Neurospora crassa OR74A: one gene and its partner. The protein of the gene in region 1 purifies or fractionates together with the protein of each later gene. This does not show direct contact. Links are inferred from orthologs where the notes say so. Each region holds a gene or a part of one and is shown on either strand. Other genes may lie near its edges. The genes, in order: NCU02717 and NCU00396.

The links.
Region 2: the proteins of NCU02717 (region 1) and NCU00396 purify together in Saccharomyces cerevisiae (affinity purification with mass spectrometry, with the first as the bait; 4 studies listed by BioGRID). This does not show direct contact. The link is inferred for Neurospora crassa OR74A from reciprocal best matches to the Saccharomyces cerevisiae genes CLF1 and RSE1.

What each region holds. Positions count from the first base shown.
Region 1 is NC_026501.1:3,297,310-3,305,363, forward strand, and holds NCU02717 (pre-mRNA-splicing factor clf-1), read left to right. Parts: upstream 1-3,958; 5' UTR 3,959-4,057; coding exon 4,058-4,376; intron 4,377-4,453; coding exon 4,454-6,222; 3' UTR 6,223-6,426; downstream 6,427-8,054. Other genes in the region: NCU02716 (pre-mRNA splicing factor), read right to left, coding at 1,474-2,961, 3,064-3,411; NCU02718 (hypothetical protein), read right to left, coding at 7,787-8,054. UniProt on the Saccharomyces cerevisiae protein: Involved in pre-mRNA splicing and cell cycle progression. Required for the spliceosome assembly by promoting the functional integration of the U4/U6.U5 tri-snRNP particle into the U1-, U2-dependent pre-spliceosome.
Region 2 is NC_026503.1:3,709,692-3,716,541, forward strand, and holds the end of NCU00396 (pre-mRNA-splicing factor rse-1), read left to right. Parts: coding exon 1-1,599; intron 1,600-1,784; coding exon 1,785-3,066; intron 3,067-3,136; coding exon 3,137-3,163; 3' UTR 3,164-3,549; downstream 3,550-6,850. Other genes in the region: NCU16683 (hypothetical protein), read right to left, coding at 3,550-4,392, 4,556-4,684; NCU00397 (hypothetical protein), read left to right, coding at 6,636-6,641, 6,710-6,806. UniProt on the Saccharomyces cerevisiae protein: Involved in G2/M transition. Required for pre-mRNA splicing and endoplasmic reticulum (ER) to Golgi secretion pathway. U2 snRNPs associated protein required for the pre-spliceosome assembly.

The DNA of each region.
Region 1 (8,054 bases):
CGGCGAACCAGCGAACTGTGGAATGCGGACACACACACACACACACACACACACAGACACGCACACACATCCCATCTACACTACACTACACTACACACTAGATACCCCAAGCTCCAGCCAAGCACATTCCCAAGCTGACCATGGTATTCTGCGCTGTTGCTCTTGTGGAACATGGCAATTTTTCAAGAATACCATAGTGCCAAGCATACAGGCCTACCGGATTCTGCGCGAATTCTGTTCAGGGCTAATGGGGAAGTGATCAACATTTTTTCGTTGAACAACTTTCCCGTCTGTGAGAAGTGGAAAACAAGGGGGGCAGTGCGGGGCCCCGGTATGGTAATCTATTTGGTGCTTTACTCTCTCTCTCTCTCTCTCTCTCTATGTTTCCTCGTTCTTCTGTAGCTTTTTTTTTGCAATCTCTTTTCTTTTTCCTTTTCTTTTCCTTTCTTTCACCTTTGTTCTTTTTTTTTTTTCTTTTTCTTTTGCGTTTCTTTTTGTCTTTTCTTGGTCTGGTGTTGTTTTTGCCTTTTCTTTTTCTCTCTCTCCAGGACTTGAGATAAAAGAGATTAGATGGAGCTCCACCCCCAAGTTGGGATCAGGTATGTATTACAAGCCAACGATACCCTTGACTACCTTGACTACTTCAGAAGATGTCCTAAACCAACATGACACGATAGGATGCCATTCTACTTGTTGACGGTCATACTGGCAGACAGGTATGTCGTGACACAACCGGTCTGGACTTGGCCTGCAGCTAAAGACAACAGACGAACGGACAAGCAGCGGCCCAACTGTTCTTTGTGTAAGGGCCGGTACTTCTGCGTGTCTTCTATGTTGTTTGTCTTCAAAAGGCATGCCCGGTGAGTGTCAGACGTACGCACACCCTTTAAACATGGCCATGCCGAAGGAAACCAAACCGTATACCTAAATTATTCGAGCCGTCTGTCTTCAGGATCTCGGTATGCCGAACTGAAGCAGAAGGATATCATCGATGTTCTGATTAGAAACACACATGAGATTTCGTAAGATCTACGGATTCCTACGTTATAGGTTCACTAACAGTCGTAGTGCATGGGACTGGTAAACTCATTCCCTCTCCTATGAATTGGTTTAGGTTAACAGTGGAACATCAACACGATAAGAGGATGCATGTACAGCAACATAACATCAACCAAAGTACAGGAGAAAAGCCTTTGTCGCAAATGGAATGTGATCACTTCCCTGAGTTTTTTCCCCCTAGCAGCATGACCCTCAAAAAATTGCCGAGTCCATGATATGATTATGATCTAGAATGACATGAGTTGTGCAAACTTTAGCTTAGCCGGTATTAGCTCGGATACTTCTCCCTTCAGAGTATCCAACTGACCAGGGACACACCGAGCCATCCCAACGGGATTGAGGTTAGGGGACCACGCTTGGTCACCGGCGTACGCTTTCATCGACCGGCTCGTCCACCGTCTCCATGTACAGGTGTCACTTCGTCGCTCCCGTATCTTGTCTCTTGCTGGGGGGCAATGCAGGCTTCTTGAATTCACCGGCGCCACCCGAGTTGCCAACTTGGGTGAATGTGCCGCCCTTAAACCAGCGGTCCTCGTCTGCTTTGCGCTTCCTGCTAAGCTCGTATTGCACCTTTGGATCAACGAGCTCTAAGCCTTGCATAGGCGTAAACGCCAACGACGATACCGTTCCGGCGGTGGCGCTGCCCACCGTGGTACCAACGCCTGACGTCCGCAAGCCCTTGCTGGCAGCCAGATTGATGTTGCCAATGCCGCTGCCACCGCCAGCAAGCCCTCTGAGAGATGATGCGGCGCCGCCATTGAGCGAGCTGGCGCCACCCCAGCCCTTGCTCTTTGCACTCAACTTGGCACGCGTGCGCTGGTCGATTTGCGTGACCCGTAGACGTCCATCGTCACGCTGGCCGATCATGCCCATGCCAGCGGTAGCGTCGCCCGTGCCATAACCGACTTCCTTCTCCTCTTTGCCAAAGGCCATACGGTTCTGAGCCTTGCGCAATTCCGTCATGGCCGTGGCCTCCTTGGCTTTACGAGCGCGTCGGCCACCACGCTTTCTACTCGGCTTGTCGTCGGGTGCCGGGAGAGCGCGTGCGCCCTTGCTGTTTGGCTTTTGCTGCAACTTATCTAGGCGGTCTAGACATTCGTCCTTCAGTCGTTCGCCTTCTGACCCATCCCTGAACTGGTGAAAGCAGTCGGTGCGCGCGCACATGACAATCTTGTTTGCAAACATTTTCATAGCCTGTTTCTTGAGGTCGGTTGGAATCCCACGAATGATGTCTGACTGATAGATGAAGCCCTGCTGTCTGATGCCGACATTGGTGGCAAGAGCAGAACTTGTCTGTTTCTTAGAGCCCCAAGCCGGGAGGTTGCAAGCCGGGGTTTTGGAAAGGCCAGTCAGGCCGCCGGCTTGGTTAAGAAGCTGTGCTGCTGTGAGGGAACCGATGAGAGCCGTCAAGTTTGGCGCAAAGATGTTCATGCGAGACTGTACGTACTCAGTGAGGGTCTTCTTAGCCTTATCAAGATCGACCACCATCAAGCACGCTTCTGTGACGCGCTGGATCTCATTCTCGCCCAGAAATTGACCCTTGGAAACCGTGGCTTCCACCGTGACAATCATCAAGGTTGGTCCGTCAAGAACTGACTTGAGGGTTAACCCCAGAGGGTTATCGGTGGAAAGCTGCAACGCTTTCATGCTCTCCGAGTCCATTGGGGAGTTGCCCAAGATGGCAACAACCTTGCAGTATTCGATTGGGTTCGGTAATAGCGACTCGAGTGCAGCAAATCTGGCGGAGAAGTGATCCCTCACAAACTTGTGGACAAGGGCCACCTCACTGTCTATCAGAGTAGACAGTCTGTTGGCGTTGGTCAAGAGGTTGTATTCCGGGTGATCTTCGACATGGCCGACGTCGTTGGCCTGAGCGGGTTGTGCTTGATAGTGTGCGATTTTCTGCAACGTTCGATCCAGACTGTCAGGGCTATTGCTCAAATAAGATGTAAACGCTTTTCCATGTTCAAAGGGAGCACCGCAAACGGGTATAAGGGAACTAACCTCGAGTACTGGCTTCAATGACTTCATAAGAGTCGCAACAGTTCGAACATCTCGCACTCCTCCCAGATGCATCTTCTCAACCTTGGCTTTTGCTTCCTCGGGATCTTCTACAGCATTCGAGTCGTCGGCGCCGACGCCACCCATAGCTTCGTCTTCGTCCTCGCCCTCCTCGTCGCCCATGCCTTCATCTTGATCCTCATCATTGATCGGTACATGTGCGTCGTCCACGCCGGAGCCTCCAGTCGTGTCAACGCCATCGCCTAGAAGACCATCGCCATACTCCTCGCCACCGGCCTCGGAGCCAGAGTCCTCAAAGTCCTGGAGGAGCTCGTCGAGAGTAGACGACATGTTGGCAAAACCCTGTTTCCTGGGCAGAATATTCGGCGACTGTTCGGGTCTCAAGGTGGTTAGATTCAGGAGTAAACGGGACAGTCGCTGATACAGGTACAACAGCTGCCGTGTGCCGAAGAAAGAATGGAAAAGAGTTCGATGTGTTGTCGACTTGTTTTGGTTTTGGGAAGAATGGAGGCAAGAGACCGCGGCGTTGCATCACGGCCTAGCGTACTGTACTGACCTCGTTGCGCCAGTGCTTTGCCTGCCGGTCGTACACAGTGCGGCTTGGTATGTCGCCGATAGCTGCCAGTGCAGTGAGTAGATAGTGTCAAGTAGGCGTAGTTCGCAGCCACACCCAATACAGCGGCCTTCCAGCGGCTCAGCGTCGTCTTATGGGCGAACCTGCTCGCTGAGGTCGGACATGTACTACCTATCAGATGTACAATGACATGATGAGCGAAAAGTGTCCATACCCACTGTGCAGCAAGGTTCAGTAAGTAGGCAGGGGCATCGAGCCACGGTCCATCAATCGCAGCGCGTCCTCAACTGAGTTCAGTGGCTGGCTGCTGTTGCGTCCAGACCCCAAAATCTCATTGAGAAACCGAACTTACAACACCACGCCAACATCTGCAGATCGCCACTTTTTACGCCCATCTTCACAATGGAGTCATCGCGCGGCCCGCCACGGGTGAAGAATAAAGCCCCTGCGCCTGTACAGATCTCGGCCGAGCAGCTGCTGCGCGAGGCCGTCGACCGCCAGGAAGTCAACCTCCAGACCCCGACACAGCGCTTTGCCGACCTCGAGGAGCTCAAGGAATACCAAGGTCGTAAGCGCAAGGAGTTTGAGGACTACGTGCGGCGTAACCGAGTTCGTCTATCGAACTGGCTCCAGTATGCTCAATGGGAGCTAGAACAGAAGGAGTTTGCGCGGGCTCGCTCTGTGTTCGAGCGCGCTCTGGATGTACATCCCAACAATACTCGTATGTTTGTCTAAACTCAAAGTGTCCATGTGCTGTTAAATGTGGCGCACATCAGTCGCTAACGATATGTCCAACAGAACTCTGGATCCGATACGTTCAAGCAGAGATCAAGAACCGTAACATCAACCATGCACGCAATCTGTTGGACCGCGCTGTCACGCGGCTGCCCAGAGTCACATCTCTCTGGTACCAGTATCTCTACGTTATGGAGATGCTCGGCGACATTCCGGGTACCAGACAAGTCTTCGACCGGTGGATGAAGTGGCAGCCAGATGAGCAGGCGTGGAGTGCTTATATCCGTCTAGAGAAACGTTACGGCGAGTTCGACAGGGCAAGGGAGATCTTCAGGGCCTTTACCGCCGTCCATCCGGAACCGAGGACGTGGCTCAAGTGGGCCAAGTTTGAAGAGGAATACGGGACCAGCGACACGGTCCGCGAGGTCTTCCAGACAGCTATCCAGACAATTGCCGAAACGCTAGGCGACGATGCCGTTGACGAGAGGATATTCATCGCCTTCGCCCGGTACGAGGCCCGTCTGCGTGAGTATGAGCGGGCCCGTGCCATCTACAAGTTTGGCCTCGACAACTTGCCTCGGTCCAAGTCGATGACGCTACATGCCCACTACACCACATTTGAAAAGCAGTTTGGCGACAAGGAGGGTGTGGAGGACGTCATTCTTACAAAGAGGAGGAGATTGTACGAGGAGCAAGTCAAGGAGAACGCAAAGAACTACGACGTCTGGTTTGACTTTGCGCGACTCGAGGAGAGCGGAGGAGATGTCGATCGGACCAGAGAAGTCTACGAGCGAGCCATTGCTCAAGTACCGCCAACCCAAGAGAAGCGACACTGGAGGCGGTACATTTTCCTCTTCCTCTTTTACGCGATATGGGAGGAGAGGGAAACAAAGGATATCGGGCGAGCCCGTCAGATCTACGACACCTGTCTGAACCTGATCCCCCACAAGAAGTTCACTTTTGCCAAAGTGTGGGTTGCCAAGGCGCACTTCGAGATCCGACAGGGCCAACTAACGACGGCCCGCAAAACCCTCGGCCGCGCCATCGGCATGTGCCCCAAAGACAAGATCTTCAAGGAGTACATCCTCCTCGAGCAGAAGCTCTACGAGTTCGAGCGCTGCCGCACCCTCTACGAAAAGCATGTCATGTACAACCCGGCCAACTGCCAAACATGGATCAAGTGGGCCGAGCTGGAACGTGGTCTCGACGATCTCGAGCGCACCCGCGCCATCTTCGAGCTCGCTGTCTCGCAGCCGATCCTGGACATGCCCGAGGTGGTATGGAAGGCGTACATCGATTTCGAGGAAGAAGAGGGCGAGTACGAGCGGACGCGTGCCCTGTACGAGCGCCTGCTCGAGAAGGCCGATCACCCCAAGGTCTGGATCAGTTACGCCCAGTTCGAGATCAACATACCCGACGAGGCCGAGGAGGAGGAAGAAACGGAGGAGGAGGTGGAAGAGAAGCCTGTTAGCGAAGAGGCCAAGGCACGTGCTCGCAAGATCTTTGAGAGGGCGCACAAGAGCATGAAGGAGCGCGAGCTCAAGGCCGAGCGTGTGTCGCTGCTCAACGCGTGGTTGGCGTTTGAGAAGACGCATGGGTCGGCGGAGGATATCGAAAAGATTCAGAAACAAATGCCTAGGAAGACCAAGAAGAAGCGTAAGCTGGAGGATGATACTTGGGAGGAATATGTCGATTATATCTTCCCGGCTGATGATCAGCAGACCAAGAACTTGTCGAGTCTGTTGGCCATGGCGAATGCTTGGAAACAGCAGGCCGCGGGGGGTGCTGGTGGCGCTGCTGTCGATGAAGCGGCTCAGGGAGGGAGCAGCTAGTGTAGGAGATGCAATGTTATATTAGGCCGCAGACCAAGAAGCCCATAAACTTTTCCCCCCGAATACAGTAACCGATATGGTGCGGATCTTTACTCCCACACATATATACCTCTTGAGTTGTTCTCGGTATTAAAGATCACATAAAAAGCCCAAACCACGATAGAAACCCCATACTTTGATGAAAGGTGTGAATTATATTTTAACCAACTGCTTGGTAGGTTGTTCCATATCCCGTACGATTAAATACGGCTTTGTACATGTTGGGATACTCTGAGGATATCAGGTCTTCCTCGGCCGTCGAATCTCATGGTGGTCTTGACGTCGATTTCCAGCACATTGTATTCGTGGGTCCAAAAAGTATCGTTTATCTCCATGAAAGAAACTGACTACCGGCCTTCTCTTTATACATATATCGTGAGAATTCGCAAAGAGGCATACATTGTTTATCATTGTCATTCTCTCAACCTCTCGGAATTGATCTGTTTCTTCATCATCCTCATAAAACCCAACCTGTTGACCATCATTATCATCATCATCATGAAAAGGAAAGAATAGGTAGAAAAAAGTAGAAAGAGAGCGAAAACATGTCGTTGTAGCTGCCGCCCAGCAGAAGGTGTAAGAAAGTTGGAGTAAGGAGTACAGAGAGTGGGCAAGGGAGGAACAAGCTATGCATAGATGCCGAAAGATAGGAAGTGTAAGGATGTAGGGGCCGACATAACCGCATGTTGTATCCTTTGGCAGCCAGGCCAACCAACCACACGCCAAGTCTCGTGAGATCCAAACATCCATGTGTGTGACTTGCGAGCCAACCAGAACAGCTCAGACAGCCAGCGTGCGGCGCGTTTCCGTTCCGGTACCGGCCGTTTCGGCACCGACCAACAACCGTTTTCCCATCAATCATTTCGCTGTTGCAGACTTGCAGTGGTTTGAGTGCGCGTCATTCCTCACAGTTCCTGTTTGTCGAGGTTCAACATGCGTGCCCGTTCAGTCGTACAACGCAAAAAAACCTGCTTGCAACCCCTGCCAAGGATCGCCACATTTCCCTGGATTTCGGGGTCCTCCTGTCTTTTTCGGTTCAATCGGTTCAGATAGTGGAGACTATGTTTAGCGACGGTGATCTGTTTGCGCAGAAAGCGGGAGAACAATTAGTCAACTGGTTAAACAACTGCATTTGATAACTTTTCGTGTATGTGATGAAAAAGGAAGAAAAAGGTCATGTTCATCGTAACCAAAGCATATCAGGAGGCGCAACAGCAACTGTAATAAGCGATGAGGCATCGCAGTTTGGAAGATTTCCCCTTGCGCATGTGTCCAACCAAGCAGAAGGAGGGGCTGGGCTCTAACGGTCAAGGTGTTCGTCAGACCAGCATGAGCTCAAGCAAGGCACACGCTCCCTCGCTCAGCTCAAGTTGAGCAAACGCCCAGTAGTGACCAGCTCTCTTGTTGTTTCTTGAGGCACCGCGTAGGATTGGGGATGCAAGAATGCAGATTGAATGTCGGGTCAAATTAGAGAGCACGGGTGACAGACGACGATAAAGCGGGCAATGGCAAACCTGCCCATAACTCATCTCCTGCCAGGACTGCTGCCCGATGGAGGAGATGGATTGCGAGGCATGGCACCGTATGGATTCCCATCAGTATAATAGGGACCATCCTCCAGGCGGGTCGCCTTGGGCGGCGCTGAAGAAGACCAGTTGTCAGCCCTGCGTCTGCCGAAGTCGACAATGTCGCCACGGCCGTCCCCGTCAAAGTCATTTGCCTGGTTTGCCGTTGCCCGCAGTCTTTCGAGCCGTCTCTGATGCCTTTCCTCTTTCTTCTTCTTCCACTCATGC
Region 2 (6,850 bases), on another chromosome or scaffold:
CTTCCAAGTACCCGGCGGCAATGACGGTCCCAGCGGTGTCTTGGTGTGCGGCGAGGAAAATGTCACCTATCGGCACTCGAATCAAGAGGCTTTCCGCGTCCCCATCCCTAGACGCAGCGGTGCCACCGAAGATCCTCAGAGGAAGCGGGTTATCGTCTCTGGCGTTATGCACAAGCTCAAGGGAAGCGCGGGCGCCTTTTTCTTCCTTCTTCAGACGGACGATGGAGATCTCTTCAAAGTCACCATTGACATGATCGAAGATAGTGACGGCAACCCCACCGGAGAGGTCAAGCGCCTCAAGATCAAGTACTTCGACACGATACCAGTAGCCACTAGTCTTTGCATCCTGAAGAGCGGCTTCCTGTTCGCCGCTAGCGAGTTTGGAAACCATCACTTTTACCAATTTGAAAAGCTCGGAGACGATGACGAGGAGCTCGAGTTCAGCAGCGACGACTTCCCGACAGACCCTACCGCCTCATATAACCCGGTGTACTTCCACCCCAGGCCACTTGAAAATCTGGTCCTGGTTGAGAGCATTGATTCGATGAACCCTCAGGTCGACTGCAAGGTTGCGAATCTGACGGGAGAGGACGCGCCCCAGATCTACTCTGTCTGTGGAAATGGGGCGCGGAGTACTTTCCGCATGTTGAAGCACGGACTCGAAGTGTCTGAAATTGTCGCTTCGGAGCTTCCGGGTACACCTTCTGCTGTATGGACGACTAAGTTGACCAAGTACGATCAGTACGATGCTTATATTGTGCTGTCATTCACAAATGGAACATTGGTTCTCAGCATTGGTGAGACGGTAGAAGAGGTCAGCGATAGTGGTTTCTTGACTACGGCGCCCACCCTAGCTGTGCAGCAAATGGGTGAGGATGGCTTGATACAAGTTCACCCCAAGGGCATTCGCCACATCGTCCAAGGTCGTGTCAATGAATGGCCTGCACCTCAGCATCGCTCGATTGTTGCTGCCACGGCAAATGAGAATCAGGTTGTCATCGCCTTGAGCTCTGGCGAAATCGTCTACTTCGAAATGGACTCGGATGGTTCGCTCGCCGAGTATGACGAAAAGAAGGAGATGTCGGGTACCGTCACATCGCTGAGCGTCGGTCAAGTACCGGAGGGCCTGAAGCGAAGCTCTTTCCTAGCTGTAGGATGCGATGATTGCACAGTTCGCATTCTTAGCTTGGACCCTGATTCAACACTCGAGATGAAGTCCATCCAAGCTTTAACAGCCGCGCCCTCGGCTTTATCAATCATGTCGATGGAGGACTCGTTTGGTGGATCCACGCTCTATCTCCACATCGGATTGCATTCGGGCGTTTACCTCCGGACTGTGCTGGATGAAGTGACGGGCGAACTGACAGACACTCGTCAAAAATTCTTGGGTCCCAAGCCTACCAGACTTTTCCAAGTATCAGTTCAGGATCAGCCATGTGTTCTTGCGCTGAGCTCGAGGCCATGGTTAGGCTACACCGACCCACTTACTAAGGGCTTCATGATGACGCCCCTAAGTTACACCGAGCTTGAGTATGGTTGGAACTTCAGTAGCGAACAGTGCTTGGAAGGCATGGTTGGTATTCATGCCAACTACCTAAGGTCAGTTTATTCCAAATTGTTTGGCGTCCAGTTATGTGATGAGGAAAGTGAACTCTATGCCCTTGGGTAATGAGGCGATTGGAGCAATCATATGTGATTGTACCAATTGTTCCTTACAAATACAACCCGATACACCCATCCATTTTGCACGTCCTTATCTTCACAGACACTGACATTGAGTGCAGAATCTTTTCAATCGAAAAACTGGGCGACAACATGATTCAGAAATCCATTCCTTTGACTTACACACCTAAGCACTTGGTCAAGCATCCCGAACAGCCATACTTTTACACTATCGAATCCGACAATAACACCCTCCCCCCGGAGCTGCGGGCAAAGCTTCTGGAGCAACAAAGCAATGGCGACGCAACGGTACTGCCGCCAGAGGACTTTGGATATCCCAGAGCCAAAGGTAGATGGGCATCGTGCATCAGCATTATCGACCCTATCAGTGAGGAACCGAGAGTCCTCCAAAGGATTGATCTTGACAACAATGAGGCGGCAGTCAGCGCGGCCATTGTACCTTTTGCCAGTCAAGAGGGCGAAAGTTTCCTGGTTGTCGGCACGGGCAAAGATATGGTCCTCGACCCACGTCAATTTACCGAGGGCTACATCCATGTTTACAGATTCCATGAAGACGGCCGGGACCTGGAGTTCATTCATAAGACCCGAGTAGAAGAGCCGCCTTTGGCACTCATTCCGTTCCAAGGACGTCTGCTTGCTGGCGTCGGCAAGACACTCCGTATCTACGACCTCGGTTTGAAGCAACTGCTCCGAAAAGCTCAAGCAGATGTGACGCCCACTCTCATCGTCTCCCTACAAAGCCAGGGTAACCGCATCATTGTCGGCGATCTCCAGCAAGGCATCACGTACGTTGTCTACAAGGCCGAGGGCAATAGACTCATTCCCTTTGCTGACGACACCTTGAACCGCTGGACAACCTGCACCACCATGGTCGACTACGAATCCGTTGCCGGCGGCGACAAGTTCGGCAACATATACATCGTCCGTTGCCCAGAGCGCGTCAGCCAGGAAACTGACGAGCCTGGATCAGAGATCCACCTGATGCACGCCCGCAACTACCTTCATGGCACACCCAACCGCTTGAGCCTCCAGGTCCACTTCTACACTCAGGACTTGCCGACCAGCATATGCAAGACCAGCCTAGTTGTCGGTGGTCAGGACGTGCTGCTCTGGAGCGGCTTGCAGGGCACTGTCGGTGTTTTCATTCCCTTTGTCAGCCGTGAGGATGTCGACTTCTTCCAGAATCTGGAGAATCATATGCGCGCTGAAGACCCGCCGCTTGCCGGCCGTGATCATTTGATCTACCGGGGTTACTATACCCCCGTCAAGGGTGTGATCGATGGTGACTTGTGCGAGAGGTTTAGCTTGCTGCCGAATGATAAGAAGCAGATGATTGCGGGAGAACTTGATCGCTCGGTGAGGGAAATCGAGCGCAAGATTTCGGTATGTGTTCCCTCAAACCCCCTTGAATTTCGAGAAACAATTCACTTACTAACCTGCTTGCTTTGTCTAGGATATCCGCACCCGGTCTGCCTTCTAAACTTGAGTACATCGTTTCTGGGTGAGAAGTAATGGCTGCGAGCTTATGGTTTAATGTATATGAAACTCCTTGCAAAGAAGCGCGTCGTTTTCACAGACATCTGGGATGGATCAAAGCCTTGTTGTAATGTTAACTTGGATTACTGCTGTTGATTCAGCTAGGCGCTCCGGTGGTGGTAAGTGGTTTAGGCGTCAATTGTATGTACGCCGTTGTGCTTAGATTTAACGATGGAAAGAAGAGACAGATTGGTACGTGGCTAAACAAAAAGAAAAGAAGAGCCATATTGCTTGGCAATATACAAAATTTTGGGTACACAAAGCATGGCATCATAACTGCTTACGATCCAGTCTTCCTGGCTTTCAAGTCCCGATCCCCGGCTTGACTACCTATTTGCCAAACTTCGACGCAGTACTAGAAGCAGTGGGAACCAACCTCTTCACCCCACTAATCCACGTCCTTCCCATAACCCTCCCTTTCCCCTTCGTAGGCGGTGGTTGGTTTAGGGCCTCCCACATCTCATCGTCCTCCAACGCCTTTACTGCGCTTTCCACATTCCAATCATTTCCCTCCAGATACAATACCGCAACATCATAGTCTGCCACTTTGGCTTTCATCATCCACTTCCTTATCTTCTTCTTCCGTTCCACCTCCTCGTCGCTTTCTACAGGGTAGGGAGAAAGCGATACGCCGGATGGGTTGTATTCTCCCGGGATACTGATGGTGCGTCTACCGCGGGCGAATAGAAGTGCGGAAGAACTGGAGTGGAAAGGGGAGGAAGAGGTGGAGAGAGAGAAGAGCGGGAGACGGTTATGCGCGAGGAGGACAGGAAGGGGAATCGAGTAGCGGAGGGAGAGGGAGGGGAGGGTGTCGTGGGGTGTGAGGTGGTGAATTGTGTCTGGGATGGTGGTGTTTGGGTTGTCTTGTGGAGGTTTGGGCTCTTGCTGGGTTGATGCTGTGGCTGTGAGAGAGATGGTTGAAGAATAAGGGGGCGGTGAGGAGGATGGGGGAGGAAGATGATTGTTGTAGGAGATAGGGCCGGGGTATGGTGGTGGTGGTGGTGTATCTTTGTCGTCGTTGGCGGCTTGTGTATTTTCAGCTCGGTAATGGTGAGAAGGAGGGCGATATTTGGGACCGCGGGGGTTTATGGGAGTAAGGTATGAAGAGGAAGATGATGATGATGATGATGGGGTTTGGCAGTAAGGACAGTAACTGCTAAAACGGGGGTTGTTCTGCTCTAGTGTTAGTAGACTGTCTATCGCGCCTATGAACAAAACATAGAAATGAAAGGTTGGCCATCAAGGTGCCTTTTTTTTGCGTCGCTTCGCAGAGTAGGTATGGCGGCGTGATGTAGCGGTCAAGTTTCAGCCTGACTGACGGCTTGGTGATACTTACATATATACAGTTACCGCAGATTACTCGGCCGCAACAGCTCAATCGCCGATCGTCCGGGAGAGGCTTCTCGGTCTCATGGACGAAGCGGGGCACCAAGTGTAAAAGCTTTGCGCAGGTACAGCAGGCCATGGTTGAAAGTCAGTTGTCTGCGGAACGAACCTCTATCTTGTCTTTTTTTGGGGGCAAGGTGAGAAACTGGAAAAGGAGAATGTCCAGATTCAAAGATCTGGTCATGTTCGACTTGAAGGGTTGACAAATCTTCAATACGGGAACAGAGATGATTGACGTCGGTAATGTGGGGGCAAAGTGACTTATCGATAGGTAGCCGGAGGGTAACCCCGCAGCCCCGCAAGTGTTCGTGGGGGCAGACCCGACGGAGGAGCTGTCAGCGGCTCTCCACAGCGCTGTCAGGGACCTGGTCTCGTTTTTGACAAAGGAAATTGTTGAGGGAACCCGGTTGACTTGCCAAACCTAATGGAATGGTAAGAATAAGCCGAAATACGTCACAGCCAGTACATCAGACCTTGGGTAGGTAAACCAATTAGGTATACATCTAAGCATCTTTACTACCTCTTGGTATACCTTTGAACCTGAGTTTGAGTCACCCCCTGGAACAGAACTCGAGCTATTGTACCTTCGTATATCATAATTCCCATTCAATAGAGATTTGTAGCGGCCTTTCCTAGCTCCAACCACGATGAGCGGTATCGGACCGTCTCTGTTCGGTTTATTCGTACCCAAGTTGTTCTTGAGGGGCATCGTGCAACATTCTCCGCTTCCGAGCATCATCACCTCTTGAATAAGCGGAAAACAGGAGTAATTGGGCAAAACTCGCCGATTTCTTCGACATCAAGCGCCCTGTCTGAGGCAAAATCTATGAAGCCACGGATTTTGAAGCTGACGAATCTTGGTTGACCAAAGCTTAATCAACCACCTGCCAGATCCTATCATCTTTTGACGATGCAGATGTCGTTTTATTCTCCTGAAGGGCAGCTTTGCCTTAGTTAGCTGTCATCAACTACCCTCAGTTTTCCATTTTCCTCTCTGACGCAATGTGAATCATGACCTGTCTTCTAACCAGCCAGACGGCACAGCACAACTAGCCCGGATCACCATCAACATTGTTTTCGCTTCTGCGCCCTGAATGGAGACTCTATGGCGTGATACCGCTGGAACAACACGTCGCCAATGCGACCGATATGACTGACCTTTGCGCAGCAGAGATGTCAAGCTAATTACAAAGCCCCATGAACCGCACTCTGAACTATATGACGGGATGTAAGCCCTTCGGTTCCAGAAGGGCCATGACCGTGGGGTGATTCCAATTTAGCGTCGCTTCTAGGGCCACGAAAAGAACAACTCTTCAATGATACCGAGAGGAAAACAGGACCGGACGGGCGGTAAGCTAATGTACATAATGTGTCGAGCCCTATACTAAGTAGATTTAGAGGATAACAAAGCGAAGTAGCATCGGCGAGACCGCTGTTGATTCCAAAGGAGTGTCTGGTTCACCCATTGCCCTTGCTTTTCATGTTACTCTAAGGAGACTGGGAGAGGAGGCAGCAAAGAGGAGCAAACAGAAAATAAGAGCTGAACCAAGTATCAAGGCTGGGCCCATTCTCCACGCCTGATCAGTCGTTCACTTGGAGCAAAAGTTCTCCAGATCCTGGAAATCACTGTGACTCGTTGTGGGGTACCAAGCAAGGTATGGCACGCGACCGTACATACATGGGTATAGTGTCAATGGGACGCAACATGAAGATACCCTATGTACTGCGTACCTACTCTAGAAGACGCTGCGGTAGAAGTGGGGTTGGGTTCCGAGTCTACGGGATAGATGGGTCTCGATTCCACTTGCTCCCCTGGCTGATGATTGTAAGAACCCGGCCCAGGGCTGTGTTCCCGGTTATGTAACGGGCGGAGTTTGGGGTCTGGATAGATATTTATGTTAAGAGCACTCGTCTCGAGTTTTTGTCAAAGTCAGCTGAAGCTTGGTCACTCCGTTTGAATACCGCGGTCCTTCGCATTTTTGACTTTTTGCACACCACTCTCAAAGATCTACAAGTCAACTTTGTATATCATGGCGGTGAGATTGCCCGTGTATAAACCGAGAAAGAGATTGAGTCATTACGATTTTAACAGACGATGTAAAAGGTCTCATACCCCCAAATCGTGCTCTTTGGCGATTCCCTGTTTCAGGGTGCCGCAAGTCTTGAGGATGGTTTCTGTTTCCAAGCCGCCGTTCAACAGCGTACGTGTTCTGTCGGCTGCTCACAAGTCTCGTATAGTGAGCTT